2 linked regions of the Elephas maximus indicus genome follow. The protein of the gene in region 1 interacts with the protein of each later gene in a biochemical or structural test. Links are inferred from orthologs where the notes say so. Each region holds a gene or a part of one and is shown on either strand. Other genes may lie near its edges.

Region 1 (15,655 bases):
CAGTCTTGGGCTTTCATCCCTACAGGGAACAAGGTGACTATTATAATGCAAAGGCAATTCTGATAGGGATCTGACAGTAATTGTTTTAGCGGATTACTGGAAAGACAAGTTTCCCAGGTCTGATATCTCTGGGTAATAAACAGAGCCCTCACTGGCCCAGAACAGGGAACTGAGGGCTGAAGCTCCACGCAAACCACCTAGCCTCCTGCCATAGGGGTCTGAGGATAGTGACACCTACCAATCTGTACAGGTACATGCATTGGGAGCCTAAGGTACAGTTGCAGCGCCCACCCACCAAAGTGCTTAAGGAATAGAGACACACCTACCTTATTTGTACTTGGGGGAAGCTATCAGCATCCTGCCCACCCTGGAGTGTGAACTCCTGCTGCTACTAGAATCTGGTGCACACAACTAGCACCACTACACCTCTAGGTGGATAGGTGACAGTCTGTACTACACACTGGTGACCCAAAATCTGATTCTACTCAAGAATAGTGAATGGACTCTTAGGCTTATATATCTGGTAACAGCCCAAACCAGCTGGTAAGAGGACATAAGTCATTCAAGGGCTACAACAATCAAGACAGCGCAATCTAGTAGCCCATCTATGTATATTGAAAGAAAACAAAACAAGATAAGACTCAGTGAGCAAATATAAAATAAATCGCCACAATATCTTATAGATGGCTCAGAGACAGCAGTCGATACCAAACCACGTAAAGAAGCAGACCATGACTGCTTCTACAACTCCCCAAATTAAAGAATCAAAATCTTTCCCAAATGAAGATACAATCCTGGAATTGCCAGATGCAGAATATTAAAAACTAATTTACAGAATGCTTCAAGACATCAGGGATGACCTCATAAATGAAATAAGGTAATCTACAGAAAAAGCCAAGGAACACGCTGATGAAGCAGTTGAAGAAATCAAAAAGATTATTCAAGAACATAGTGGAAAAATTAATAAGCTGCAAGAATCCATAGAGAGATAGCATTCAGAAATCCAAAAGATTAACAATAAAATTACAGAATTAGACAATGCAATAGGAAGCCAGAGGAGCAGAATCGAGCAATTGGAATGCAGAGTGGGGGAGCTGGAGGAGAAGGGAATTGACACCAATATAGCTGGAAAAAAAATCAGATAAAAGAATTGAAAAAAATGATGAAACCCTAAGAATTATGTGGGACTCTATCAAGAAGAATAACTTGTGTGTGATTTGAGTTCCAGAACAGGGAGGGATAACAGAAAATACAGAGAGAATAGTTGAAGATCTGTTGGCAGAAAACTTCCCTGACATCATAAAAGACAAAAGGATATCTATCCAAGACGCTCATCGAACCCCATATAGGATTGATCCAAAAAAAAATCACCAAGACATACTATCAACAAACTTGCCAAAACCAAAGATAAAGAGAAAATTTTAAAAGCAGCCAGGGATAAAAGAAAGGTCTCCTACAAAGGAGAATCAATAAGAATAAGTTCAGACTACTCAGCAGAAACCATGCAGTACAAGGAGGCAATGGGATGACATATACAGAACACTGAAGGAGAAAAACTGCCAGCCAAGGATCATATATCCAGCAAAACGCTCTCTAAAATATGAACACGAAATTAAAACGTTTACAGATAAACACAAGCTTAGAGAATTTGCAAAAACCAAACCAAAGCTACAAGAAATACTAAAGGAAATTGTTTGGTCAGAAAATCAATAACATCAGACAGCAGCACAACACAAGGTCACAGAACAGAGCATCCTGATTCAACTCAAAAAGAGAAATCACAAAAACAAATTAAGATTAATTTTTAAAAGGAAAAAAGTTCTCAGAACAGGGAATCATTGAAGTCAATATGTAAAAGATCACAATAATCAAAAAGAGGGACTAAATACAGGAGACATAGAACTGCCATATGGAGAGGAAAACAAGGTGATATAGGACAATAGAAGTTAGGTTTTTACTTAGAACAATAGGGGTAAATATTAAGGTAACCACAAAGAGGTCTAACAATTCCATAACTCAAAATAAAAACCAAAAAAAAACATAATGACTCAGCAAACATAAATTCAACCACTATAAAAATAAGGAATGCACAATTTACAAAGAAAAGCGTCTCAGCACAAAAAATTAAGTGGAAAAATGAAATTGTCAACAACACACACAAAAAGGCGTGAAAATGACAGCACTAAACACATATTTATCTATAATTACGCCAAATGTAAATGGACTAAATGCACCAATAAAGAGACAGAGAGTCTCAGACTGGATAAAGAAACACGATCAATCTATATGCTGCCTACAAGAGACACACCTTATACTTAGAGACACAAACTAAAACTCAAAGGAAGGAAAAAAATATATCAAGCAAACGACAAGCAAAAAAGAGCAGGAGTAGCAATATTAATTTCTGACAAAATAGACTTTAAAGTTAAATCCACCACAAAGGATAAAGAAGGACACTACATAATGATAAAAGGGACAATTGACCAGGAAGATATAACCATATTAAATATTTATGCACCCAATGACAAGGTGCAAGATACATAAAACAAACTTTAACAAAACTGAAAAGTGAGATAGACACCTCCACAATTATAGTAGGAGACTTCAACACACCACTTTTGGAGAAGGATAGGACTTCCAGTAAGAAGCTCAATGGAGACACGGAAGACCTAATTGCTACAATCAACCAACTTGACCTCATTGACTTATACAGAACTCTCCACCCAACAGCTGCAAAGTAAACCTGTTTTTCTAGCACATGTGGAACATTCCCTAGAATAGACCACAGATTAGGTCATAAAAAAAACCTTTGCAGAATCCAAAACATCGAAATATTATAAAGCATCTTCTCAGACCATAAGGCCATAAAAGTGAAATCAATAACAGAAAAATCAGGGAAAAGAAATCAAATACTTGGAAACTGAACAATACCCTGCTGAAAAAAGACTGGGTTATAGAAGACATTAAGGAGGGAATAAAGAAATTCATAGAATGCAACGAGAATGAAAACACTTCCTATCAAAACCTCTGGGACACAGCAAAAGCAGTGCTCAGAGGCCAATTTATATCGATAAATGCACACATACATAAAGAAGAAAGAGCCAGAGTCAGAGAACTGTCCCTACAACTTGAACAAATAGAAAGTGAGCAACAAAAGAATCCATCAGGCACCAGAAGAAAACAAATAATAAAAATTAGAGCTGAACTAAATGAATTAGAGAACAGAAAAACAATTGAAAGAATTAACAAAGCCAAAAGCTGGTTCTTTGAAAAAATTAACAAAATTGATAAACCATTGGCCAGACTGACTAAAGAAATACAGGAAAGGAAACAAATAACCCGAATAAGAAATGAGATGGGCCACATCACAACAGACCCAACTGAAATTAAAAGAATCATATGAGATTATTACAAAAAATTGTACTCTAACAAATTTGCAAACCTAGAAGAAATGGATGAATACCTGGAAAAACACTACCTACCTAAACTAACACAATCAGAAATAGAACAACTAAATAGGCCCATAAACAAAAAAAGAGATTGAAAAGGTAATAAAAAAATTCCCAACAAAAATAAAGCCCTGGCCTGGACGGCTTCACTGCAGAGTTCTACCAAACTTTCAGAGAAGAGTTAACACCACTACTACTAAAGGTATTTCAAAACATAGAAAATGACGGAATACTACCTAACTCATTCTATGAAGCCACCATATCCCTGATACCAAAACCAGGTAAGACACCACAAAAAAAGAAAATTACAGACCTATATCCCTCATGAACATAGATGTAAAAATCCTCAATAAAATCCTAGCCAATAGAATTCAACAACATATCAAAAAAATAATCCAACACAACCAAGTGGGATTTATACCAGGTATGCAAGGCTGGTTTAATATTAGAAAAACCATTAATGTAATCCACCATATAAATAAGACAAAAACCACATGATCTTATCAATTGATGCAGAAAAGGCATTTGACAAAGTCCAACACCCATTCATGGTGAAAACCCTCAGCAAAATAGGAATTGAAGGAAAATTCCTCAACATAATAAAGGACATCTACACAAAGCCAACAGTCAACATCACTCTAAATGGAGAGAGCCTGAAAGCATTTCCCTTGAGAATGGGAACCAGACAAGGATGCCCTTTATCACCGCTCTTATTCAACATTGTGCTAGAGGTCCTAGCCAGAGCAATTAGGCTAGACAAAGAAATAAAGGGCATCTGGATTGGCAAGGAAGAAGTAAAATTATCTCTATTTGCAGATGAGATGATGTTATACACAGAAAACCCTAAGGAATCCTCCAGAAAACTACTAAAACTAATAGAAGAGTTTGGCAGATTCTCAGGTTATAAGATAAACATACAAAAATCACCTGGATTCCTCTACATCAACAAAAAGAACATCGAAGAGGAAATCACCAAATCAGTACCATTCACAGTAGCCCCCAAGAAGATAAAACACTTAGGAATAAATCTTACCAAGGATGTAAAAGACCTATACAAAGAAAACTACAAAGTACTAGTGCAAGAAACTAAAAAGGACCTACATAAGTGGAAAAACATACCTTGCTCATGGATAGGAAGACTTAGCATAGTAAAAATATCTATTCTACCAAAAGCCATCTATACATACAATGCACTTCCGATCTAAATTCCAATGAGATTTTTTAATGCGATGGAGAAACAAATCACCAACTTCATATGGAAGGGAAAGAAGCCCCGGATAAGTAAAGCATTACTGAAAAAGAAGAACAAAGTGGGAGGCTTCACTCTACCTGATTTTAGAACCTATGATACAGCCACAGTAGTCAAAACAGCCTGGTACTGGTACAACAACAGGCACATAGACCAATGGAACAGAATTGAGAACCCAGATATAAATCCATCCACATACGAGCAGCTGATATTTGACAAAGGCCCAGTGTCAGTTAATTGGGGAAAAGATAGTCTTTTTAACAAATGGTGCTGGCATAACTAGTTATCCATTTGCAAAAAAATGAAACAGGACCCATACCTCACACCATGCACGAAAACTAACTCCAAGTGGATCAAAGACTAAAACGACAAAGATCATGGAAGAAAAAATAGGGACAATGTTAGAAGCCCTAATACAAGACATAAACAGAATACAAAACGTTACCAAAAATGACGAAGAGAAACCAGATAACTGGGAGCTCCTAAAAATCAAACACCTATGTTCATCTAAAGAATTCACCAAAAGAGTAAAAAGACCACCTACAGACTGGGAAAAAGTTTTCAGCTATGACATCTCGGTCCAGCGCCTGATCTCTAAAATCTATATGATTCTGTTAAAACTCAACCACAAGAAGACAAACAACCCAATCAAAAAGTGGGCAAAGGATATGAACACGCACTTCACTAAGGAAGATATTCAGGCAGCTAACAGATACATGAGAAAATGCTCTCGATCCTTAGCCATTAGAGAAATGCAAATTAAAACTACAATGAGATTCCATCTCACTCCAACAAGGCTGGCATTAATCCAAAAAACACAAAATAATAAATGTTGGAGAGGCTGCGGAGAGATTGGAACTCTTATACACTGCTGGTGGGAATGTAAAATGGTACCACCTCTTTGGAAATCTATCTGGCGTTTTCTTAAAAAGTTAGAAATAGAACTACCATACAACCCAGAAATCCCACTCCTCGGAATATACCCTAGAGAAATAATAGCTTTTACATGAACAGATATATGCACACCCATGTTTATTGCAGCTCTGTTTACAATAGCAAAAAGCTGGAAGCAACCAAGGTGTCCCTCAACAGATGAATGATTAAATAAATTATGGTAGATTAACACAATAGAATACTACGCATCGATAAAGAACAGTGATGAATCTGTGAAACATTTCAGAACATGGAGGAACCTGGAAGGCATTATGCTGAGTGAAATTAGTCAGATGCAAAAGGACAAATATTGTATAAGACCACTATTATAAGATCTTGAGAAATAGTATAAACTGAGAAGAACACATACTTTTGTGGTTATGTGGGGGAAGGGGGGGAGGGTGGGAGAGGGTTATTTACTGATTAGTTAGTAGATAAGAACTACTTTAGGTGAAGGGAAGGACAATACTCAATACATGGAAGGTTAGCTCAACTGGACTGGAACAAAAGCAAAGAAGTTTCCGGGATAAACTGAATGCTTTGAAGGTCAGAGGAGCAAGGGCGAGGGTTTGGGGACTATGGCTTAAGGGGACTTCTAAGTCAATTGGCAAAATAATTCTATTATGAAAACATTCTGTACCCCACTTTGAAGTGTGGCTTCTGGGGTCTTAAATGCTAACAAGCAGTCATCTAAGATGCATCAATTGGTCTCAACCCACCTGGATCAAAGGAGAATGAAGATCACCAAGGTCACACGATAACTATGAGCCCAAGAGACAGAAAGGGCCACATGAACCAGAGACTTACATCGTCCTGAGACCAAAAGAACTAGATGGTGCCCGGCCACAACTGCTGACTGCCCTGACAGGGAGCACAGCAGAGAACCCCTGTGGGAGCAGGAGAACAGTGGGATGCAGACCCCAAATTCTCATAAAAAGACCATACTTAATGGTCTGACTGAGACTAGAAGAATCCCAGCGGTCATGGTCCCCAAACCTTCTGTTCGCCCAGGACAGGAACCATTCCCGAAGACAACTCATCAGACATGGAAGGGACTGGACAATGTGTTGGAGAGAGATGCTGATGAAGAGTGAGCTACTTGTATCAGGTGGACACTTGAGACTGTGTTGGCATCTCCTGTCTGGAGGAGAAATGGGAGGGTAGAGAGGGTTAGAAACTGGCAAAACCGTCACGAAAGGAGAGACTGGAAGGGCTGACTCCTTAGGGGGAGAGTAAGTGGGAGTATGGAGTAAGGTGTATATAAGCTTATATGTGACAGACTGATTTGATTTGTAAACTTTCACTTAAAGCGCTATAAAAATTATTTAAAAAACCAACAAACAAACAAACGGCTGCAGCAATATATCGACAGGAAACTGCCAGAAATTCAGGCCAGTTTCAGAAGAGGACGTGGAACCAGGGATATCATTGCTGATGTCAGATGGATCCTGGCTGAAAGCAGAGAATAGCAGAAGGATGTTTACCTGTGTTTTATTGATTATGCAAAGGCATTTGACTGTGTGGATCATAACGAACTATGGATAACGCTGCGAAGAACGGGAATTCCAGAACACTTAATTGTGCTCATGAGGAACCTTTACATAGATCAAGAGGCAGTTGTTTGGACAGAACAAGGGGATACTGATTGGTGTAAAGCCAAGAAAGGTGTGCGTCAGGGTTGTATTCTTTCACCATACCTATTTAATCTGTATGCTGAACAAAGAATCTGAGAAGCTGGACTGTATGAAGAAGAACGGGGCATCAGGATTGGAGGAAGACTCATTAACAACCTGCGTTATGCAGATGACACAACCTTGCTTGCTGAAAGTGAAGAGGACTTGAAGCACTTACTGATGAAGATCAAAGACCACAGCCTTCAGTATGGATTACACCTCAACATAAAGAAAACAAAAAGCCTCACACCTGGACCAATGACCAACATCATGATAAATGGAGAAAAGGTTGAAGTTGTTAAGGATTTCATTTTACTTGGATCCACAATCATCAGCCATGGAAGCAGCAGTCAAGAAATCAAAAGACGCATTGCATTGGGCAAATCTGCTGCAAAGGACCTCTTCAAAGTGTTGAAGAGCAAAGATGTCACCCTGAAGACTAAGGTGCACCTGACCCACGCCATGGTATTTTCAATCACATCATATGCATGTGAAAGCTGGACAATGAGTAAGGAAGACCAAAGAAGAGTTGACGCCTTTGAATTGTGGTGTCGGCGAAGAATATTGAATATACCATGGACTGCCAAAAGAACGAACAAATCTTCCTTAGAAGAAGTACAACCAGGATGCTCCTTAGAAGCAAGGATAGCGAGACTGTGTCTTACATGTTGTCAGGAGGTATCAGTCCCTGGAGAAGGACATCATGCTTGACAGAGTACAGGGTCAGCGGAAAAGAGGAAGACCCTCAACAAGGTGGATTGACACAGTGGCTGCAACAATGAGCTCAAGCATAACAATGATTGTAAGGATGGCTCAGGACCGGGCAGTGTTTCGTGCTGTTGTGCATAGGGTCGCTATGAGTTGGAACCGACTCGACGGCACCTAACAACAACAGCAACAACTGGGCTGATCTCTAAAGTGAAAAATACCCGGAATTATTACTTTGCTTGAATTAAACCACGGACGAAGAACAACATGAGCGCTGCACCTTAGAAAAAGTGACGGCAATTGGGAGTCTGAAGAGCTGGACCCATGTCCCAGGGCATTCGTTAGCTGTGTGATCTTGGGCAGGTTACCTTGAGACTCAGTTACTTCTTTAAAAAAAAATGAGAGCAGATAATAAAGTCTGCCTTTTTCTTTCCTTGGAGCTCTGGTGGCATAGTGATTAAGAGCTTGGCTGCTAACAAGAAATCTATCAGCCACTCCTTGTTCTGTCCTGTGGGGTTGCTATGAGTTGGAATCAACTCAGTGGCAATGGGTTTGGTTTTAGCTTCTTTTATGAAGTGGTTGTAAGAATCTATTGGGGATGTTTGTTATGAAAGAGTTTTGAAAAACAGATCATACATCATTATATGTAAGGCATGATGTTTCCATGGTTAGTTGACAGGGAGAAGCCAAGCTAAGGTTATGTTTACTTGGAGACAGTTTATGTGCAAAATTGTCATATGATTTAGTAAAAATCAGCCAAGTTTTTCAGACAGAAACACCCAATTACATTAAATATTATTTGAAGTATTGCCTTGATGTCTGTTTCATTCTACCTGTAGTGTTAACGTCGTGCTGGACATTCAGCGGATGAAGATTCAGAACACAGACCCATTTCTGATAAAATTATTAATTGCATCCATTACAAATTATTGGATTAAAAAATTTTGGATTCTTTTTTATGATTGTGTCGTAGGATGCATGACTCAGCTGTATAAGAATGCCTTCTTCCGAGGTGGGGATGTGGTCTCCTTGTATAGCCCAGATGCCCAGCACTGTCAGATGACATGCACCTTCCACCCCAGGTGTTTATTTTTCAGTTTTCTTCCTGCAAGTTCAACTAATGATATACACAAAAGGTAAGTTGGTATTTCATCGTTATTATTTTTTTCTTTGTGCTTTAGGGGAAGGTTTACAGGGCAAATTAGTTTCTCACTAAACAGCAAATACACATATTGTTTTGTGACATTGGTTGCCAACCCCAAGACATGTCAACACTCTCCCCTTCTAGAACCTTGGGTTCCCCATTACCAGCTTTCCTGTCCCCTCCTGCCTTCTGGTCCTTGTCCCTGGGCTGGTGCCCCCAGTGAGTCTTGTTTTATGGGCCTAATATTTGGCTGAACGGTGAAGCTCAGGAGTGACTTCAGCACTGAGCTATAAGGGTGTCTGGGGGCCATACTCTCAGGTTTCTTCCAGTCTCTGTCAGACCAGTAAGTCTGGTCTTTTTTTGTGAGTTAGAATTTTGTCCTACGTTTTTCTCCATCTCTGTTTGGGACCTTCTATCGTGATCCCTGGTATTTCATTATTGAGGAAGCCAATCGCTTTTCAAAATGGAACCATTCTTGTGCAAAAAGATTTAGCTTATCATGGGGTTACATTTCTCAGACGGGATTCTAGGAACAGTGTGGTCAGAATCAACTGAAGTGGCTTTTGCATATGCAAATTCATAGGCCCCACCTACCGAACCAAGGTCTCTGATGCCTGGAAATCTGCATCTTCAACAATGGCTGCATTCACTTAAAAGTAGTGGAAGGTAATTATTTTCTATCCAAGGACACAAGGATCTCAGGAAAGGGCCTGATAACAGGCATACGTTTCATGTGAACGAGGAAAAATACTACCGTCTCACCCACTATGAATATTTGTATATAACACAGTCCTAAGAAAATAGAACTTAAGACAGCATTTTGTTGAGAATGTAGGTGGGTGAGGTCTAGAACTTGTGACATTGGGAGACAGCAGCAGTGAATGGAGGCCTACTTGGTAGACCTAGGGTGTGTGTGTGTGTGTGTGCGAATATGTATGCGTTAACTTATAGGTTGGAAAAGTAAGACCACTGGAAAAATAGTTGGTGATTAAAACGTTTATTAGACCATGAGGATGCCTAGATACAGCCATAGTCTCATTTTAATTATCTTTAATTTTGATCAGTATCCAGAATGGACTATTTTTTGTTGTTTCCATTTATAGCTCTTTTGTTTTATCTTCACCCTGTTTGACTTTAAGAACTAGGAATCACGCAATCATCGCCTGACCCTGTGTGTTAAACTTGTACAGAAAACCCAGACATTACCTCAGAGGCACCGTGTTAAATGCTGAGTTTGGTTCTAGAATCCTGGTGAATAATGAATTTAACATTAAAATTGACATTAAATATCAAAAGAAGCATTCCATTAGGTGCAGTCTACGAATAGTTAATAAGCAAAATGAGCACCATAGATAGACTCAACTGTTCTGACTAATTTCATTTCTTAAATAAAAGAAAAAAAAAAAAAAACCGTTGCTGTCCAGTCGATTCCGACTCATAGTGACTCTATAGGACAGAGCAGAACTGCCTCATAGGGTTTCCAAGGAGCGGCTGGTGGATTTGAACAGCAGACCCTTTGGTTAGCAGCCAAGGGCTAAAGCATTTAGAAAAATAATCACCAGGTGACAACAAAATTTCCTGGAAGTTCTGGAGCAAAGGAAAAATCATTAATTTTTCAATCTGGTTGGTTTTCTGCACTTAAAAATGTGACTATAAAGAAAATCCACGTCCCAGTTTGTTAGGCATTACAGTGACGCTTAGATATTACGCAGTTGCCTCTAAGGATCCACTTTCTATCAAGTATCCAGGAAACTGGGTTTTTCCTTATCATTAGTGCATAGAAAATGCTAGCCATTACCTCGATGCCTGTTTGTTCTTCTACCTTCTGAGTGAAGCCAATTTTAAAAACAGGTTTGGTTGCTTCTTGAAAGAAAGCACGACAGGGATCCTTCCAAGGGCGCCAAAGGCTGGGGCAATTTCCGGACATTCCCTAAAGCACTGTGGACATTACATCAGTGGTAAGTTGCGGAAATTTTTCGCTAAATTTGAATTAATAATGGGTCTACCTTAGAGTAATTTTTGTTCAGAGTCTGGACTGTCACAGACTCTTGGAAGGGTGCCTTCAGAAAAATAACAGATACAGGGCAGTATTCTGGACCTAACAGAGGAAGCCATGTTCATCTTGACCATGCTCTTATCTTCACCAGGCAAGGCATGCTTAATGAGCCTGTATTATTTATACGGCGCCCTGGTGGCACAGTGGTTAAGAGCTCAGCTCCTAGCCAAAAGGTCAGGAGTTCGAATCCACCAGCTTCTCCTTGGAAACCCCATGGGGCAGTTCTACTCTGTCCTATGGGGTCACTATGAGTTGGAATTGACTTGACTACAGTTGGTTTGGTTTTGGTTAATAATCAAGACACTCTCACAATCAGGTCCAAAATCAGGTGAGTTTATAGCTTTCAGCTACCCATGAATAAAAGTTGCAATTAGTAAATATCTCATGCCAATTATTAACCTATTTCATTTCCCACGTTCAGCAAAGTTGGAAAAGTATTTCATTTCCATAGTCTTCAAATTTCCATGTACATGAACCACTGCGAATAATCCACCCCTGCCCTCCTCCTCAGTATTTTGCTTTCCTGTTGGTTTTTTCTGTCTTTCTCACCTTAAGGATTTAAGATTGAGCATTATGAGTTCATCAGTCCTGTCTCTCAGAAGTGGGAAATTGCACACAGTATCCTTTGTTCTGTTTATCTAGTTTCCTTAAACAAAAGTCTAAGAAATTTGAGTCTTCAGTAAAATTAAAAATATATATATATGTAACTCACTCACTTGGTTTGCTGTTAAAAGGATTATCTACATCGTTTTGTGTATAAGGTACATTTCAATAAAAAGAGTGCTTAAATCGAATTTAACAAACTTTTAAAGCAGGAATAGAAATGGCTTTATCACACGTAGACCAGAACTCTCCACCTTTTGTGACAATGATTTGACACGTGGATGTCAACGAGAGGGCTTACCATTGCAAGGATGCAATCAGATGGGAGTAGCTGAAAATGTTGAGAAATAAGACAAAGAAATTCCTCCACTCGGTTAAAGGGTCAACGCTAGCGTTCTAGAGGTGGTGGGGCAGGGAAGGGGGAGTCAGAATACGTTTATTTCAAGCGAGGTTTTATAATTAAAGGAAGCAATAAAAATTTTAGGGCACCCAAATAAAAGGAAAGTTGCCAAATAGGAACCTCCTTTCAAACCATCTTACCCAAACGTGTGAAGAGTTGACAGCCTACCTGTAGAAAAGAAGCTGACTACATTGGCCCTGTGCATTTATTCCTGCAGCTTGCCACCCAGATACTTATAAAGGAATTGATATGAGAGGAACCAATTTTAATGTGTCTAAAGTTAGAAGTGTTGAAGAGTGCCAGAAAAGGTGTACCAATAACATTCACTGCCATTTTTTCACGTATGCCACACAAACATTTCCCAGTGCAGAGTTCCGGTGAGTAAAATTCACAGTGTTCTTTCTGGAGGTGCCTTTAGAATGTAATTGTATTCTTCATAACCTCTTTTCCTTTTTTTTTCAGTTGAAATCGAAAACAGGGTTTTTATACCTAACCACTCTTCTTATTTACTTACTCAGTTTTGATGTCATTTTTCCTGAAGAGACTAAGTCCACTTGGTCCACAGATAGGCTCTGCTTGTGAAATTAGGGGCTTTGAGTTACCGGGGTTTTGTAGAATAAGGTCTCCCATTCCCACCTTAACCTTGCCTCTGCAGAGCGGAAGGATGTCTATTTGTTTCGTAATGCAAATCTCGAGCTTACTCATTAGCAGGGTCACTGTTAATTATTGTTTATTTTCCACTGCCCATTCATAATTCTGACGCTAAAATATTTTGTACTGCAGTGCACACCTTGAAGTTTAGGAAGCAAAATAACCCCTTTTCTTCATATTCAGGAACAATTGCTTATTAAAGAGTAGCCCAAGAGGAACACCGACCAGTATAAAGCTGCTGGATAATGTGGTGTCTGGATTCTCACTGAAGCCCTGTGCACGCTCAGAAATAGGTAATTGTAAGGCTACTGCTTCACTATGCAATGGTAATGGGCGGAATGAAGACCCCCCACACACGCCTCCCTCCTCACCATCCTCCCCCCTACCCCAAAGATGTCTGTGACCTAATTCCCGGAACCTGTGGATATGTGACCTTACATGACAAAAGGGGTTTTGCAAGTTATGGATTTTGAGAATGGGAGGGTAGGGGGATACCCCTGGTTTATCTGGGCATGTCTGAAGTACTCACAGGGTCCTCATGAGATAAAGAGTCCCAGAGACAGATTTGAACACGTTACACTGCTAGCTTGAAGACGGGGTGAATAGCACGAGCCAAGGAAACTGGTGGCTTCTAGAAGGTGAAAAGCAAGGAAGCGGCCTCCTCTGGAGCCTCTTCTTTATCCCAGCAAACCCCGCTGTGGACTTATGACCTGCAGAATTGTAAGATAATAAATTTGTAAGTCACTAAGTTTTCAGAAATTTGTTACAGCAAGAAGAAATTACTACCGTACAGGAAACTACAAGGTTTTTCTTGGTGATGTCTGTATCTAGAAAATGAGTCTATCATAGTGGATCAAAACCCTGTCATTTCAGACATGTATGTAATTTTATTTGAATCCAGAAAGTTGCCATGACATTCTACTTTAATTAGCATATCGAGGTGTTAATGACAAGATGTTGTTGAAACAAAGCCAATTCTATGCATTACCAAGTGCTTACCCTGTGCCAAGCCCTATACTGGCTTTTGGGCTATGGCCATTCTATGGAAGATTGGAAGTGGGCAACTTTCCTCTCATTTGTCTCTTCCTTCAGTATATTCCCTCCGCAGCGTGTGCCATATTTATTGCTTCAAATTCAGTGATTGCTACTAATAGTCCTTTTTATTTTTTTTCCCTGTGAGGCTTCTTGAAGATTTTTATTTAGAAATCTTCTGTTCTTTACACAGCACTGTTGTTGAAGGCATTTGTTGCACTCTTCCAGGGAGCTGGCATGGTCAGGCCCCTCCCTCGGGCCATTCTACACTGCTATCCATGGTCTGAAAAAGCACCCCATATAGCCAATTTCTGTCCTCTGTCAACAATTATCCTGTTCTGTGCTTGGTTTCCTCATTAAATTGCAATGAGTTCACATATTACTTTAATTAAAAGGCCTTCACAGAGAGAGAAAAATCCTGGACATTTCAGGAAATGTTGTGCCCTGCTAAGGTTATTGTTTTTAGTGGTCACTTTTCAACATTCCTCAGGGAACATCTAGTAGCCAGTGGCATTCTATACCTATAGTAAGCCTCTGGAGCCGCCTGCCCACTTGAAATTCCCAAGTTAGTGATTTGTAGCCATTACTAGAAGTTTGTTCTGTTTCTTCAAGGACGTAATTTGATAGACAAGAAACATGAGGCTCATAGAGTTGAAATGTTGTGCTCAAGGACATACGGGCCAGGACTTCAACCTGGGTCTTTAGGTCACAAATTTCATACCCTTTCCCCCTTTTTAATGTAAAGTCTTCTAGTCTTAACCCATATATCAAACTAATTATATTTACAACTTCCTTCTCTTCTTGCCCAAATTTCTGTATGGATTTAAAAGTGCTCAGAAGAATCGCACTTCTCCAGTTAAGTTAAATAAATAAACTATTTGCAACTCAATAGTGGTAACTTTTATCATGTTGTTGTTGTTGTTAGGTGCCATGAAGTCCGTTCCCACTCAGAGCAACCCTATGTACAACAGAATGAAGCACTGCCTGGTCCTGCACCATCCTCACAATTGTTGCTATGCTTGAGCCCATTGTTGCAGCCACTGAGTCAATCCATCTAATTGAGGGTCTTCTTTTTCCCTGACCCTCTACTGTATCAAGCATGAAGTCCTTTTCCAGGGACTGGTTCCTCGGAATAACATGTCCAAAGTATGCGAAACAAAGACTCACCATCCTCTCTTCTAATGTGCATTCTGGCTGTACTTCTAAGACATGTGTCCATTCTTTTGGAAGTCCATGGTATATTCAATATTCTTCGCCAACACCATAATTCAAAGGCATCGGTTGTTTTTCTGTCTTCCTTATTCATTGTCCAGCTTTCACATGCATATGAGGCAATTGAAAACACAATGTCTTAGGTCAGGTGCACCTTAGTCCTTAAAGTGACATCTTTGCTTTTTAACACTTTAAAGAGTTCTTTTGCACCAGATTTGCCCAGTGCAATGCCTCCTTTGATTTCTTGACTGCTGCTTCCATGGGTATTGATTGTGGATACAAGTAAAATGAAATCCTTGACAAGTCCAATCTTTTCTCTGTTTATCATGATGTTGCTTATTGGTCCAGTTGTGAGGATTTTTGTTTTCTTTGTGTTGAGGTGTAATCCATACTGAAGGCTGTGTTTTTTTGTCTTAGTCAGTAACTGTTTCAAGTCCTCTTTGCTTTCAGCAAGCAAGTTTGCGTGATCTGCATATCACAGGTTCTTTCTGAGTCTTCTACCGGTCCTGATGCTCCTTTCTTCTTCATATAGTCCAACTACTTGG
Region 2 (15,736 bases), on another chromosome or scaffold:
CAAAAAAAACTAAAAATAATTCAGACATCTGTGTGCCAAGTCCCCTCTCCCCCAAAAAGGGCAGATCTGTTACCAGGAACATAGCTCAATATATTTTTTAAAAAATTGAAATCTAAACAAGGAGGAGAGTGAAGAAGGGAGGGAGGAAGAGAGGAAAGGGATGCTTACGCATAAAGCCCCAGAGCTCTGTTGAGAATATAAGTTAGAAAGTATTAGTTCCGTGGTCTCACCCCATCCAGAGCAAGAGAAAATTGAAGAAAACCAAAGATACAAAGGAAAGATTAGTCCAGGAACTAATGGACTGCAACTACCACAGCCTCCATCAGACTGGGTCCAGCATAACTAGATGGTGCCGGCTACCACCACTGACTATTCTGATAGGGATCACAGTAGAGGGTCCCAAACAGAGCTAGAGAAAAACATAGAACAAAATTCTAACTCACAAAATAAATAAATAAATAAGACCAGACTTACTGGTCTGATAGAAACTGGAGAAAACCTTAGAGTATGGTCCCTGGCCACCCTTTTAGCTCAGTAATGAAGCCACTCCTGAGGTTCAGCCTTCATCCAAAGATTAGACAGGCCCATAAAACAAAATAAGACTAAAGGGGCACACCAGCCCAGGGGCAAAACAAATAGGCAGGAGGGGACAGGAAAGCTGGTATTTGGGGTCCTAAGGTTGAGAAGGGGTGAGTGTTGATACATCGTGGGGTTGGCAACCAATGTCAAAAAACAATATGTATATTAATTGTTTAATGAGAAGCTAATTTTTTTTTTTTTTTTTTAGTTTGCTCTGTAAATTGTCATCTAAAGTACAATTTTTTAAAAAAGGAAAATATTAGTTTCCAGATGTTGGTTAGCAGATAGGTGCCATTCCATAACATAGTTTCACCACTTTATATTGAAATGAGAAAAGTAAGGATGACAAAGTTTTTCATAATACAACATTTATTCCATCTAAAGGACCATTCTTTATTCTGAGATTGTCTTTCAAATCCATTTGTTGTCAAAATGCTTTTCGTTTTGTGAAGTAATGATGGTGGTAGATGATAGTTTATGTTTGTATTTTAAATGCCAACTTGGTTAGACAAAAATTTGACAGCCGTTGGTTGGTATCCTTCTTTTTAAATTGATTAGAGTCCAAAAGTGTGGGGACTATTAGTCTAAAATCTGACTTCACCTTTTGTGTTACATGATGATATTCATTTTCCATGTTTTTTTTTTTTTTTTTTTACCAGGAACATAGAAATTTCAGTGGTGGACAACACTATTTGGGCCATCCATTCCACTCTGGTGGACATCATCCCCATGAGGATCATCCCCACGGACCCCCTCCCCACGGACACCCCCCCCACGGACACCCACCCCACGGTCACCCCCCCCACGGACACCCCCCCCACGGACACCCCCCCCACGGACCCCCGCCCCACGAACACCCTCCCCACGGACCCCCGCCTCACGGACACCCCCCCCACGGACCCCCGCCCCACGGACACCCTCCCCACGGACCCCCGCCTCACGGACCCCCGCCCCACGGACCCCCGCCTCATGGACCCCCACCCCACGGACACCCACCCCACGGACCCCCGCCCCATGGACACCCCCCCCACGGACCCCCTCCCCACGGACCCCCTCCCCACGGACATCCCCCCCACGGACACCCTCCCCACGGACACCATCCCCATGGTGACAATTTCCATGGCCACACACCCTGTGACCCACCACCCTATTACCAAGGTCCCCGTGATCACCCTCGCCATGACCTGCCACCTAGGCATCCAAAAGAAAGAGGCCCAGGTAAAGGACCCTTTATCTTCCATTGGAGACAAGTTGGATATGTTTACCGGCTCCCCCCACTAAACAAAGGTGAAGTTCTTTCTCCTCCTGAAGCCAATTTTCCCAAGCAGTCATTGCCAAGCCAAAACAATCCCCTGAAGCCAAAGATTCAGCCCTTCCCTCAGTCAGCCTCTGAATCATGTCCAGGGAAGTTCAACAATGAGTTTCTACAACTTCTGCAGTTTTTTGAAAATACAATTCCAAAATAAAATCTGATTTCCTTGAAGGAAGAAATGAATAATGTTCCGACTTTGAACTATAAATAAAAGTATGACCCATAATAAATGCAAAAATTACAAGTTATTTAAACCTTACTTTCATACTCAGAATAGAGTAAAATGTAGGTGGGGGAGGAAATGGCAGGAAAAGAGAGAGAGAAGTAGGAACGAGATGAAAGATCTCAGGACTACAAGTCAATAGTTCATCCTGTCACTGACTACTACATCATTCCAGGCAAATCTCCAGTCCTCAGAATTTCTTTCTTTCTTGGACTTAACTCCTTAATTCTAGGGTTTTTATCTGTGTTACTGCTTATGACTATAGTTGGGCATACCAAGAAGTTATGTATCACGTAAAGCATTATTCTTACAAATGTTACTCAAATTGTCTTCCACTGTTTATTTCTTGCCATCTAATTTTCCTTTGAAAAAATAAGTTATCAACCCAATTATGAAATGTAATTTTTGGCCTCCCTGGACCTGGGTTTTACCTTTCTCTACTTCCCGTTCAGTCAGCCAACCCTACATTCAAACACTGATGCAGGCATGAATCATGACCATAAATTCAGGTGCACAAGAAATTTCGCTTTTTCTTCAGAACAAATTAATTTCTATTTCAGCTTGCCATCCTGCTGGGTTAATGGAAAACTTAATCCCAGGCATTTTTGGAGTCCCCCACCCTGTCACTCCCCACAAAAGGTTGCAACACAGTTCCAGAATCTCACATATTGGCAAGGTGTTTGGTGATGGACATGGGAAGGATGTCTGATTCTTGGTCATTTGTCCACCAGGTCTTCCCTGCTGAGGGATACCCACCACCCTGTTCCCATCACTCTTTGGGTCTAGTTTATCTGCCACGTCTGTATCAAACTGGGGAGATAGGAGACTCTGTGGGACTGCTAATGGGCATGACTGCCAATATACCATACGACTATTCTCTTTCTGGGATCTGGTTACCTTCCAGACTGCACGCTCAGAAAGGCCTCTGCTTCAGGAACCCCCGGGCCCTTATGCTCTACTCATCTCTTCTCCCTAAGCTAGGTACTCTCTCACTACCCCCTCTAGTCTCAGATAAACAAACAAACAGAACCCACTGACATCAAGTTGATTCCGACCCATAGTGACCCTATAGGGCAGAGTAGAACTGCCCCATAGGGTTTCCAAGGAGCCACTGGTAGATTCGAACTGCTGCCCTTTTGGTTAGCAGCCAAGCTCTTAACCACTCTGCCACCAGGGCTCTAGTCTCAGCTAAGTCCTTCTGTATTCACTTTGGGGTTGGAGAACACTTTATCCACACTCTAAGGTGCTTTCTTTTCCCTTCTTTCCAAACCCAAGCTTGAGCATTTAGAAACAGGCCAATATGATGTCAGGTCAGCCCTACCTTCCAGCCAGAGTGGTGACACTCAAAATATTTAAAAATCAATATGACACAAGCACTGAACGATCAGACCAGATGTTAACAGCCAATCAGAACAGTCGCCAGCCATGAACAAACAGTGTGGCCATACTGGTGGCACCAGCTGAATGTTGACCCTGCAGAAACACATCCCTCCATGGAGGCATAAATGTAGGGTTGACTGACTGAATGGGGAGTAGAGAAAGGTAAAATCCAGGTCCAAAAAAAAAGGTCCAAGGAGGTCAAAAAAACACACAGGTTAATAATTCAAAGTATTATCCTCCCTCAGAAGTATTTGAGTAATGTCTTATCATTTGTAAAGTACTTTAACAAACATTGCTTAAGTTGATGAAAATATTACCTAGAAAACATAAAAGTGGAAGACTCTCAATTCATTTCAAATAAATGCATTTGTAATATACAAACACAGTTGCTTCAGGGGAAAAGCAGGGGTAAGAAACAGTCCTTACCCTTGGGGAGCTTTGGGGAGCTTACATACTGCTAAAGGTTTTAGATAATAACACCAAGGACTGCTGCTTTTCTAGATTTTCTGTGTCATGACGGCTAAAGAGTATATGAATGTTTGTTTATAAAAATGCATTCCATCAACTTCCAAAGGCGATGTTAACAGGGTCAAGATAGTATGACTACCTTCTCAAATGTCTAAAGCCCAAATGCCTCAGGCTCCAGAAACTACTCCAGAAAATTTCTTCTTCTGCTTCCCAACATCACCCTTTCCGCCAGTGTGCTATCATTTTTTGAGACTGATAGACAAGAAATCTTTCTTGATTCTTCCCTTTGCTTTATCACCAGTAAAATCTATGACTGCCAGGACTTGGTTTTGTTCACTACAGTGCCTATAACATACTAGGTGCTCTAGAAATATCTGTTCAGTCAGTGTATATAGCAAGCATGTCAGTCAGGAGATTTTCATATTGTGACCCTAATACTCCACAATAGGTTTTCACCTTTTCAAATGAGCGACTGAGAGCTTGACGTAACTAACACCATGATGAACCTTTAAGTTTTTTTCTGCCTGCCTTCTCCTTTCCGCATACTTTTGTTAATGACTTTGTTTTGTTCTGTTTGGCCACTTATGACTTACACCCCTACGTGAAGATTAGAGCCCAGGTGTCTGGCATGTGTATCTTTAGCCTGATAAGGAGATGTCCAGCATGTATCTCTTTATCCGATAAAAAGTCTCTTGTAATTACCTTGTAATGAATAACTCATCGGGCTGGGCCTTCTGTGGGCTACCTGCCAAAAGACACTTCGTAACCCTTGCAATAGCTATATACAAGCTCTAACGTGAAATTGCCTTTTGGGACTCCATAAAGACAGTCTGCCGTGCTGCAGAACTTTCCTTTGGTGTCACCTTCTAAATAAATTTTCTCTCGCTTTCTGACTTGGAGTACGTTTCATTGGCTCGACTGCTCCAGGGCACGGACCCTAATTGGACAACAATATGTTAAGTAATTTAATCCTTACAACAACTCACTTAGACAGGTAATATCATTGTATGAGTAGGCCAGCTACTGTAACAAGCACAGTGGCTTAACAACACAGGATTTGATTGCTCTCTCATGTAACTGTTCAGTGTGGGTTATTTACAGATGGCCATCCACATGGTGATTCAGGGTCTCAGGCTCCTTTCATCTTGTGGCTTTGCCCTTCTGGTAGGCCTCAGTGTTTTCTCCTGGATCCTCTTTTTCTAGCACACATAGGGAAAGAGTAGAGCAGCACATGGGTGGTTTTTATGGGCTAGACTTGGAAATGGGATACAAAAGGTATGCTCACATTTCACTGGCTAAAACTCAGTCACATGGCCACGCCTAACGCAAGGAAGGATGAGAAATGAAGTCTAGCTGTATGCCAAGGAGGAAAGAAAAATGAGTTTGATGAATACCTAGCCAGCCACTACCACAATCACCATATTTTAGAGAATGATTAGACCCAAAGAGGGCCTTATAGTTAGTAAATTATGGTACTGGGATTAGAACCCTGATCAACCCTCCTTCAAGGCCCACATTCTTCCCTCTTTATTATACTGCCTGTGAATACTGCCAAGTCCTGTTTTCTAGTCTTTATTTGAAACACCCGCCATGTGGAGCCTTGACTTCCAACTCCTCCTGGACTAAGCCACATCAGTCATTTCTTCACTCCCCAAGCTTCAGTTTCTCCATCTCTGTTGGTTCGCCTTTCCTCTCAGCCTAAGAACTTACCTAAGTTACTTTCACCCTTAATTTTTTTTCCCTACATCTCTCCATTAGAATGCACCTTCTACCATCACCATGTACCTGAAACCAGGGCTTCGAACTGGTTCCTTCTGGTTTGAACCCCTGCTGAGAATCTGCATTTCTAACAAACTCCCAGATGAGCAGTGGTTCTCAAAATTTATTAGACGTAAGAATCACCTGGGGATCTTGTTGAAATGTAGATTCTGATTCAGTATATCTATGGAAATGTAAATTCTCAGCAGGAGTTCGAACCGGAACAAACCGGTTCTAAGCCCTGCCTGAAACTGCTTCAATAAGACAGAGATTCTTAACTATCCCGCTCTAATAAAACCCGTTGCCATCGAGTCAATTTTGACTCATACCGACCATAAAGGACAGCATAGAACCGCCCCATAGGGTTTCCCAGACCATAATCTTTATTGAAGCAAACCACCACATATTCTGCAAAGCGGCTGGTGGGTTCGAACCACTGACCTTTTGGCTAGCAGGTGACTATTTTAACCACTGTACCACCAAGGCTCCTTTTCTACTCTAATAGTAAGTATAATCTGTAAAAACTAATTACCAATCCCTGTACATAGGTTAATTGCTCAGGCTGCTAACCAAAAGGGCTGCAGTTCGAATCCATCAGGCACTCCTTGGAAACCCTACAGGGGCAGTTCTACTCTGTCCTATAGGTTCGCTCTGAGTTGGAATCCACGCGATAGCAACAGGTTTGGTTTGGCTTTGGTACATATATTACCTCATCTACCCCTCAAAAAAAAAAAAGTAATATAGGTATTACTTTCCACATTTTACAGATGAGGAAACTAAGGCTTAGAAAATCAGGGTTGCATAACAATTAAGAAGCAGAGTTAGATTGGAATCCAGATTGGATTTACTGCCAAGCTCATGTTCCTGCCACTGTTTCAAGGCCACCACTCAGCCTACACCGACCTCTGTTTTCCAGAGGCTGTCAGGGAGACTGAATCTCCAAGCTAGAAATCCTGCCAACAACAACAAAGAAGTCACCTTTTTTTTTTTTTCAGTAAGAAAGCCCTACTAAGCGATAACCCAACTCTTTAAACTATCCACAGACCTCCTCTCCCTGAATCCATTGCCATCAAGTTGGTTTCGACTCATAGTGACCCTATAAGACAGAGTAGAACTGCCCCATAGTGTTACCAAGGAGTGTCTGGTGGATTCAAACTGCTGACATTTTTTTTGTTAGCAGCTGTAGCTCTTAACTACTATGCCACCAGGATTTTCCTCTCCCTGGATAGTCCAACTTTATCAAAAAGGTTGCTTAGGCCTAGTGAGGGAAAGACACCCATATTCACCTAAACAGAGGCAAGAAGCAAAGATAGGGGCTTCAGGGCTTCACGCAAGACCTCTATCTGTGCTTAGGCTTCTCCTCTGCCTCGTTCACCCTGGAGAGTGCTTTCCTTTACAGACTAACAAGCCAAGTGGAAAGAGGCTGAATGAACCAGAGACCAGATCCAAACCTGTTGTAGTCAAGTCAATTCCACCTCACTGAGACCCTATAAGACAGAGTACAACTGCCCCCATAGAGTTTCCAAGGAGTGGCAGGTAGATTCGAACTGCCAACCTTTTGGTTAGCAACCAATCTCTTAACCACTGCCCCACCAGGGCTCCCAGGATGCCCATAATTTATTTTCAGTTGTGCCAATGTCTTGCTTTGGGACTCTCAGTGTTCACTTTATTCCTCTGAGCATGGGCTTCCCCAGGCATGCAATCTGATTGTTAGTAGCCTGTTTCTATGCAAATAGCCTGCAAAGAAATTCTACTGTGAGAGGTGTTTCTGCAGTGGTGCATTGTTGTTATATGCAGGGCCCTTTTTAAATGCCTTTGGGAGAGTCACAAGGAAATAACTGAGCTAGTTGATGGTTCTTTCCTCTTCCTTTTTAGGTGCTGCTCCGATTTGCTCGATAAAGCATGTTGTGTAATCACATGGACAGGTGCTCTGTACCCCCCTCCTACAACCCCCATGCTTTTAAAATGCAAACAAGCAGGGCAACAACCCCAGTGTTGAAATGTTCCAGTTAGAAACCTGTTTGGATAACCCAGCAGTGCTATTTGCCCTTCTGGAATAGGGCAAAACAGTGCATGGTAGTGGGAATTCAAGCAGGCCCACAGAGCGCTGAGGCAGAGAGGAGAGGGCAGAGGCAATAAGGGACCGGAGACACTCTTGGTGAAACCACCCTTCAACAGCTAGAGGGAAGACTGTTAAATCATGAAACTAATCGCCATCCTCTTCCTCTGCTCCAGGCTGCTCCCAAGTTTGACCCAGGAACCCTTCTCAACGGACATTGACTGTAACAACGAGGAAGTTTTTAAGGCTGTGAATGCTGCACTGAAGAAATATAACGGTCAAAACCAAAGCGGCAACCAGTTTGTATTGTACCGTATAACCCAGGTCATCAAGACGGTGAGTGAGCTGTGTTTGACCTTGAGGTCATTTGGGATTTGTGCTGTCCCACCAAGTCCAGGTCTTTTGCTTTCCCCCAGTTGCCTACCCCCAAGACCTGATAAGCAAAGGCAGACGCTTACACCTTGGAAAAAGCCAAACTCTCTGGTCTAGGAAGGCAGCGTATGACTAGTCCTGGGACCACTAACACTGGCTACCCAGATGATCAGAGAGGAAGTTTGCTCAGGTGAAATGAAACAAATGTAAACGGAATTAAAAGGACTAAGCAGAATGGAAGATCCAGGAACTCAGGTGGGCTATAGCAAGAGTATCCACTGCCTGGGTAAGAAATAAATAAAGTCCTCCACACCTCAGGGGGGAGGGGGTTCCTAAGAATCTAAGAGAAGACGTAAGTGAGAATAACATGGTTGAATGCATCCAGTTAACAGCAGTGTTTAGTTGGTTTTTAATAATTTTTAGCACTGCAATGATGCCGTTGCAATGATCCCAGCAGGATGCATGATACAAAGAAACACAAAGCTTCCCAGGATTTGTTTCAATGAATTTCACTGTAAAGTGTTATGTGTCTGGAATAGTAAAGCCATTGGTTACTTCAGTGGGGGAAAAAAATTCCAACCATTTCACATCAAGAGGCTAAAGAAAAAAGCCACAGTGGATATTTTTAATTTTTTTTTTTTTCTGAAGGTAAAGTTGTGCTATTGTGTTTCACAATCTGACATACTCACATGGGGAGTGCCAAGTTCCGAAGCTCTAGATACGACTAAAATGACCCTCCAGCCTTCCCGGGGTGCTCACATGACAGTTTGTTGGTTTTGTCTCCATTTGCTGATAATTTGTGGCAAATGTGGTTTTTTGTTCTCAAACATCCATAAAACCACTTCTTTATTCTTACTTCCCCCTGTGGGCACAGCCTATACCATACCACTTACTGCTTTATAAGACACGAATGAACTTTATAAGACTTTATAAGCTTTATAAGACCTGGAAGGAATTCTCAAGATTCTCTTGTTTGACTCCATTATCTGGGCCCTCCCTTCTCTCATCTGCAAAATGAGGGGCTGGACAACATCACCTCTCAGGTCCCTTGCTGCTGGGACATGCTAGGACCTTATACCTGAAAGCTCACCTGAATCAGCACAATAAAAAAAATAAAAAGAGTTTTTTTTTTTTTTTTTTAGCACTTGAAAACTCTCATTTATTACCTTATGACCTGGGGCGGGGGGGGGGGGAGGAAAGCAAATGCATTTATTAAAATTCCTTAACCCCATCATCCAGAGATAACTGTTCACTTTCTTTTTTTTTCAGAAATGAATAAAGACCTCTTTTATTTGCCTAATCATAAAAGATAACCCCCCCCCTGCAAAATAGACTCACTGCTGTCAAGTCAATTCCCACTCATAGCATCCCTACAGGACAGAGTAGAACTGCCCCCATAGAGTTTCCAAGGAGTGCCTGGTAGATTGGAACTGCTGACCTTTTGGTTAGCAGCCATAGCACTTAACCACTACGCCACCAGGGTTTCCAAAAGTAAGATATGTTTGAATAATAAATAAAGTTAAAATAAGAGGGGAAAAAAGTAACATGTTTGTTAAAAAGCAGTCAGACAATGCAGGAAGGTTTATTTAAAGAAGAAAGTAAAAGCCTACTGTAATCCTACCACCAAGAGACAAACTCCTAACAGCTTGCTGCATACATACCCTTTCAGACCTTTGTAGACATATGTGTATATGGAAGGCCTGCTAACCAAAAGTTTGGCAGTTTGAATCCACCAAGCGCTTCTTGGAAACCCTATGGGGTAGTTCTACTCTGTCCCATGGAGTCGCTATGAGTCGGGAGCAACTTCAAGGCAACAGCTTTTTTTTATCTATGAATATATAAGTTGGCTTTTAAAAAAGTGAGCTAATACTGTGGTTACTGCTTTGTAAACTTTAAAAAACATATTTGCCAATATATTGTGAATATTTTTTCCCAAGTAAATATTTATAACTTTCAGTACCCTTCACCTGACATCACTGAATCAAATCAAGATCAAATATTCATAACAACACCAGATCCCACTCCGATTACATGCTGTTGGGTTGGTGGGATGAACAAAGATATGTTTGGTTGCGTTTTTTTTTTTCAGGAAAGCTCTGGCACATTTTATTCCTTCAAGTACGAAATCAAGGAGGGTGATTGTCCTGTTCAAAGTGGCAAAACCTGGCAAGACTGTGACTACAAAGAAGCTTCGGAAGCTGTAAGTTCATTCGGGGATGGTTACCACACCTCCCGTGTTTTCTGAGCTTGCCAGGCTTGTGTACTTGTGCAGGGGATGATTAAATTATGGTTCTAAGCCCGCTTATGGGGAATCCACATAAACACTCAGATTGTAGAAAAGTCAAATGCTTGATGTCTATGTTCTCGCATAGACAGAAAGGGACGGGAGGCCGGCCACCAGTTAAACATGGAGAAAGAAGCTCTCCCATGAGAAAACCAAAAACCAAACCACTTACTGTCCAGTTGATTCTGAGTAGAACTGCTCCATAGGGTTTTCAAGTCTGCGACCTTTCAGAAGCAGATCACCAAGCCTGTCTTCTAAGGCGTCTCTGAGTGGACTTGAACCTGTAACCTTTCAGTTAGTAGTTGAGTGCTTGACCATTTGCACCACCCAGGGACTCCACTCCCGTGAGAAGCGGGCTCTGATGACCAAGCAGGACATATGGACCCCACCCCGGAGAGATGAGAGATTGACACTTATGCTGAGCTCAAAGGCTGGAAAGGGGAAAGGGTGGGTGCTCCAACTTGCACAGGCCTTAGTGCAGATCCTAGAGCCCTGGTGGCGCAGTGGTTAAGAGCTGGGCTGCTAGCCAAAAGGTAGGCAGTTTGAATCTATCAGCAGTTCCTTGGAAACCGTATGGAGCAATTCTACTCTGTCCTATCGAGTCGCTATGAGTCAGAATCGACTGGATGGCAACAAGTTTTTTTTGTTAGGTAGACTTCGTACTCTGGTGGAGCAGTGGCTAAAGTGCTCGGCCGCTAACCGGTAGGTCGTGGTTCTAATCCACCAGCAGCTCTGCGGGAGAAGGATGTGGCAGTCTGCTCCCGGAAAGATTACAGCCTTGGAAACCCTATGGGGCAGTTCTATCCTGTCCTATGGGATCTCTGTGAGTTGGAATCAACTTGTTGGCAACAGGTTAGGTAGACTTCTCGGCCCAAAAGATTAAGATAAGTACTCACTCTGTCTCTTCTTTCTTTTTAGGCCACAGGGGAATGCACAGCGACAGTGAAGGGGAAAGATACAAAATTCATCGTTGCTACCCAGACCTGCCAGATTACTCCAGGTAGCTGATACCTACGGTGGCAGCGCTGCCACGGGGGAGAATCCACCATTTCTGTTTTTGGTTTAACGTTTTTGGTGTGCCAGGGACAACCTAGGCCAGGCCTGCGCCCCCTGCTGGAGGGCGGCAGTAGCGAGACAGCTGCAGCGTCTGGGTGAGGGGGACCGGGAGAGGGCGCTGGAGGAGCACGCAGAGTCTTGAGGTCGGGGCCAGGCTCACGCCGGTCATCCCCTCAGCACTATTTTCCGACGCTCTTCTTCCTGTGAGGCGCTGTGTTAGGTACCTCGCACAAAGACAAGAAGACAAGACCCGCCCTCAATGCTGGGCAGCACCCTACAGCGAGAAAATCACAGGCTTTGAGGTCAGGCCTCTCAAATTCCTTCAGCTTTCCTTTTCCTCCTCTGTAGAAGGTGGATAACGGTAATTCCCGCTTCACAGGATTTTTGTGAGACTGAAACAGGGCGATACGCCAGAAGGTGCAATGCCTAAACCCATTGTGGCTGAGTGGATTCCAACTCATAGCCACCCTATAAGACAGGTGCAATATCTAAACCCAAAAAAAACCCAAACCTAGCAACCATAATATTGTATTAATCATAAAAACCAGACTAGCTAACATGGATTGGGGGCTTACATTCCAGGCACAGTTTTAAGCACTTTACACGTGTTAACTTACTTAATCCTCACAACAACTCTATGAAGTAGGTGTAACTATCAGCCCATTTTACAGGCGAGGAAGCTGAGGCCCAGAGCAGTTAAGTAATTTGCCCAGGATTCCATAGCTAGTAAGTAGCTGGAAGAGTGGACTCTCAATAAACGAAATTCCTTAAGGATATAATTACGGAGCAATGGATCAACAAATACAACCACTGTTAGCTCCTCCCTCATGTGGCAGAAGTGCCAGGTACAGAGGAAGGGGCAGAGCTGGGGGTATCAATTGAACAAGCCTTCCTGCAATTGGCCCCCTGAAAGGTAGTGTTTTAGTGCATGAGGCCTGTAGAATAGCATCTTCAGGCTTCACAACTGAACATCACCCTCGTGGCAGGTCTATGGTCTTTGTCATCCATAAGCAACCCAGAATATCTCCTTTGCCTTGGGGTTCCATTCCTGCAAGAAGTCACATTCAGTGTAAAACACTCCAGAATAGAAAAGAAATCACAAGGAATTGAAATCTCTATTTGAATTTTAGAAAAACCTCCAGAATTGTTGCTGTATATTGGAAAATGATTCTGTCATCCCCCCCCCCCAAAATGGGGTTTAATATCTTTCTCTACTCCTCTCACCCTCAAAGCCTTCTACGCAGCAAAGGTGCCTCCGTCTCTTCTCTTACCCCTGTTCATCTTCTAATAAAAGCTTCTAGATAAAAAATAATTATCTTTCCAGTACAATTGCCCTCCAGATTTTTAACATCGCTTGTTACCCTGATTCCACATGACTTTCTACAAAAAGGAAAGGGAACAAAGCTATACATATTTACCCAGTAATTTTTTTCTTGACATACATTTGCAGTCAGCACATGGCTGTGGGCCTGCTGGGTGTAGAAGCCTAGGACTCGTAGGCGGGGATTCATGTATAGCACTCATGCTTCAGCCACTTTTCCCTTTCTGTACTGTAGCATTTGCCTCCATTGGCCGCCATGTTGGGGGCTATTCGTTATCCACATCGCTTGGTAATTTAGTACAAACTTCTGCTTCATAGCTTAATTGTCATTAAAAACCCTTCACTGGCTCCCCGTTCTTAGAGCAGACCATTCTTCATTCACTTCAGAGGGTCTGTGAATACCCTGAAACTGTATGGAAAATGTTCTGAGCATATACATTGTCTTAGTAACCTAGTGCTGCTGTAGCAGAAATACCACAAGTGGGTGGCTTTAACAAACGGAAATTTATTTTCTCACAATTTAGGGGCTATGAGTCCAAATTCAGGGCTCCAAGTCTAGGGAAAGTTCTCTCTCTGTCAGCCCTGGGGAAAGTCCCTTGTTCCTTGGCTCTTTGGTGATCTTCATGTGGCATGGAATCTCTCTCCCTCCACCTTCACTTTTTAGCTGCTTGCTTAATCTGCTCTTTTATACCTCAAAAGAGATCGATTTAAAACACATCCTACACTAATACTAGAAACCCTAGTGGCGTAGTGGTTAAGTGCTACAGCTACTAACCAAAAGGAAACAGTTCGACTCCACCAGGCACTCATTGGAAACCCTGTGGGGCAGTTCTACTCTGTCATATAGGGTCTCTATGAGTCGGAATCAACTCGATGGCAATGGGTATGGTTTTACGGGGTCCACTAATACTGCCCCATTAACATAACAAAGAAAACTCATTCCCAAATGTGATTATAACCACAGGCATAGTAGAATTTACAATACATATTTTTGGGGGATACGGTTCAATTCATAACATGCATTTGGCTGTGGAGGGGCCCATAGCTTTTATCAGATTCGCCAGAGAGTCCATGGCACTTGGAATATAGTTAGCAACCCCTGGCCTAGAGGGAGGTTCAGGCTCAAAAGTAGAATCAGGCCTCAGATTACACCCCTGTGCCTCACACTTCTTGGGCTGGTAACATGTGGCTCACATGTAGACACGCATCCCACGGGGAGTCTTCCATTCCTTCTCCCCACAGCTTCCCACCTCTTTTTGCCTGGTTCACCCCCGTTCATTCTTCTTAGCTCAGCCATCTTCCTCTCAGGAAAAGGTTCCCTCATCTCACTCTCTGCCCCTGCCTTTGCAGCTATTACCGAGTTATCTTGAAGTGACCTCTCTACAGGTCTGCCCCTCTGCTTGTCTGGAATCCCCTTCATGACAGTGGCCGTCACTAACATGTTAGTGTATCCACGCAGCCTAGCTCAGCACCTGGCATATTGTTGATGTAAACGGATGCAAAATGTATTCAACCCTAAGCCAGGCTTCAAGGGGCTTTACTGAACACTAAAAAATAAATAATATCTGTAATGTTTTATTTTTTTCCTGAGTGGATAAATTCATGTATTACTTGTATAATTTGAAATAACTTTATAAATTAAAATAACAAGGTATATATTGTGTGTATAAGATATGCCTAAGAGAATAATTGGAGTCTCTGGGTGGTGCAAATGTTTAAGCACTTGACTACTAGCCTAAAGGTTGGTGGTTCAAACCCACCTAGGGGCATCTCTGAAGACAGGCCTGGCGATCTGCTCCCAAAAGGTCACAACCTTGAAAACCCTATGGAGCAGTTCTACTCTGCACACGTACAGTCCCCATGAGTCGGAATTGACTTGATGGCAACTAACAAAAATGAATGAGTGATTTTTTTTCCCTCTGACTAAAAACCCTCTGATGGAGTCCCTGGGTGGTGTCAATGGTGAAGAGCTCAGCTACTACGCAAAAGGTTAGCAGTTCAAACCCACCCAGAGGCACCTGAGAAGAAAGGCCTGGCGATCTGCTTCCAAAAGATCACAGCCTTGAAAACCTCGTGCAGCACAGTTCTACTCTGCACACACAGGGTCGCCGCAAACCAAAATCAACTCGAGGGCAATGGTTTCCTGTTTTGTTTTGTTTTTTAAATCCTCTAACTGAAAAACAGCCTTACATTCTCTTTTTTCCTAATTGTACCCTATGGTTTATTGGCAAGTTTGTTTATTAGGGCCTTCTAAAGTATCTTATTTGTTAAGGGCAATGTATCTGAGTGCTGGAAAATAAAGCCTGGCTTTAACCTTTAAGGAAGTCCTGGTGGCGTAGTGGTTAAGAGCTACAGCTGCTAACCAAAAGGTTGGCAGTTCAAATCCACCAGGCGCTTCTTGGAAACTCTATGGGGCGGTTCTACTCTGTCCTTTAGGGTCACTGTGAGTCAGAAACCCTCGACAGCAGAGTTTGGGTTTTTTTTTTTTTTTTTTTTAGTTTTAGCCTTTAACTCGGCCTTTTGGCCCGCTCTTTGTTAAGCCGAGGGCCCTGTAGTGATGAAAGAGTACACCTGCGTTGGATGTGATCACCCTATATCGACAGACAGCCCCGACCTGGAGCCTGTTCTGAGACACGCCATTGAGTACTTTAACAACAACACTGAGCACCCCTACCTCTTTGCTCTTCAGGAAGTGAAGAAGGCCCATAGACAGGTTTGTTCCTTAATCTTTCATAGACAGGTTTGTTCCTTAATCTTTCATGTACACAGTATTGTTAGAATTTGCTAAATCTTTATGTTTAAGGCCTCATTAACTAAAATACACCATTTGCCAAAGGAAAACGTGTTGTTACACTACTGGTAATGAGGAGGAGCCCTGGTGGTGCAGTGGTTAAGCACTCGGCTGTTAACCAGAAGGTCGCCAG

Evidence for each region.
Region 2: the proteins of plasma kallikrein-like (region 1) and KNG1 form a complex in vitro, tested with the Homo sapiens proteins (4 studies listed by BioGRID). The link is inferred for Elephas maximus indicus from reciprocal best matches to the Homo sapiens genes KLKB1 and KNG1.

What each region holds. Positions count from the first base shown.
Region 1 is NC_064840.1:80,126,647-80,142,301, reverse strand, and holds the start of plasma kallikrein-like, read left to right. Parts: upstream 1-9,071; coding exon 9,072-9,148; intron 9,149-11,007; coding exon 11,008-11,114; intron 11,115-12,432; coding exon 12,433-12,592; intron 12,593-13,049; coding exon 13,050-13,159; intron 13,160-15,655. UniProt on the Homo sapiens protein: Participates in the surface-dependent activation of blood coagulation. Activates, in a reciprocal reaction, coagulation factor XII/F12 after binding to negatively charged surfaces.
Region 2 is NC_064819.1:28,295,571-28,311,306, reverse strand, and holds the start of KNG1 (kininogen-1), read left to right. Parts: upstream 1-7,727; 5' UTR 7,728-7,920; coding exon 7,921-8,115; intron 8,116-10,240; coding exon 10,241-10,351; intron 10,352-11,353; coding exon 11,354-11,435; intron 11,436-15,352; coding exon 15,353-15,525; intron 15,526-15,736. Other genes in the region: HRG (histidine-rich glycoprotein), read left to right, coding at 1,239-2,045. UniProt on the Homo sapiens protein: Kininogens are inhibitors of thiol proteases.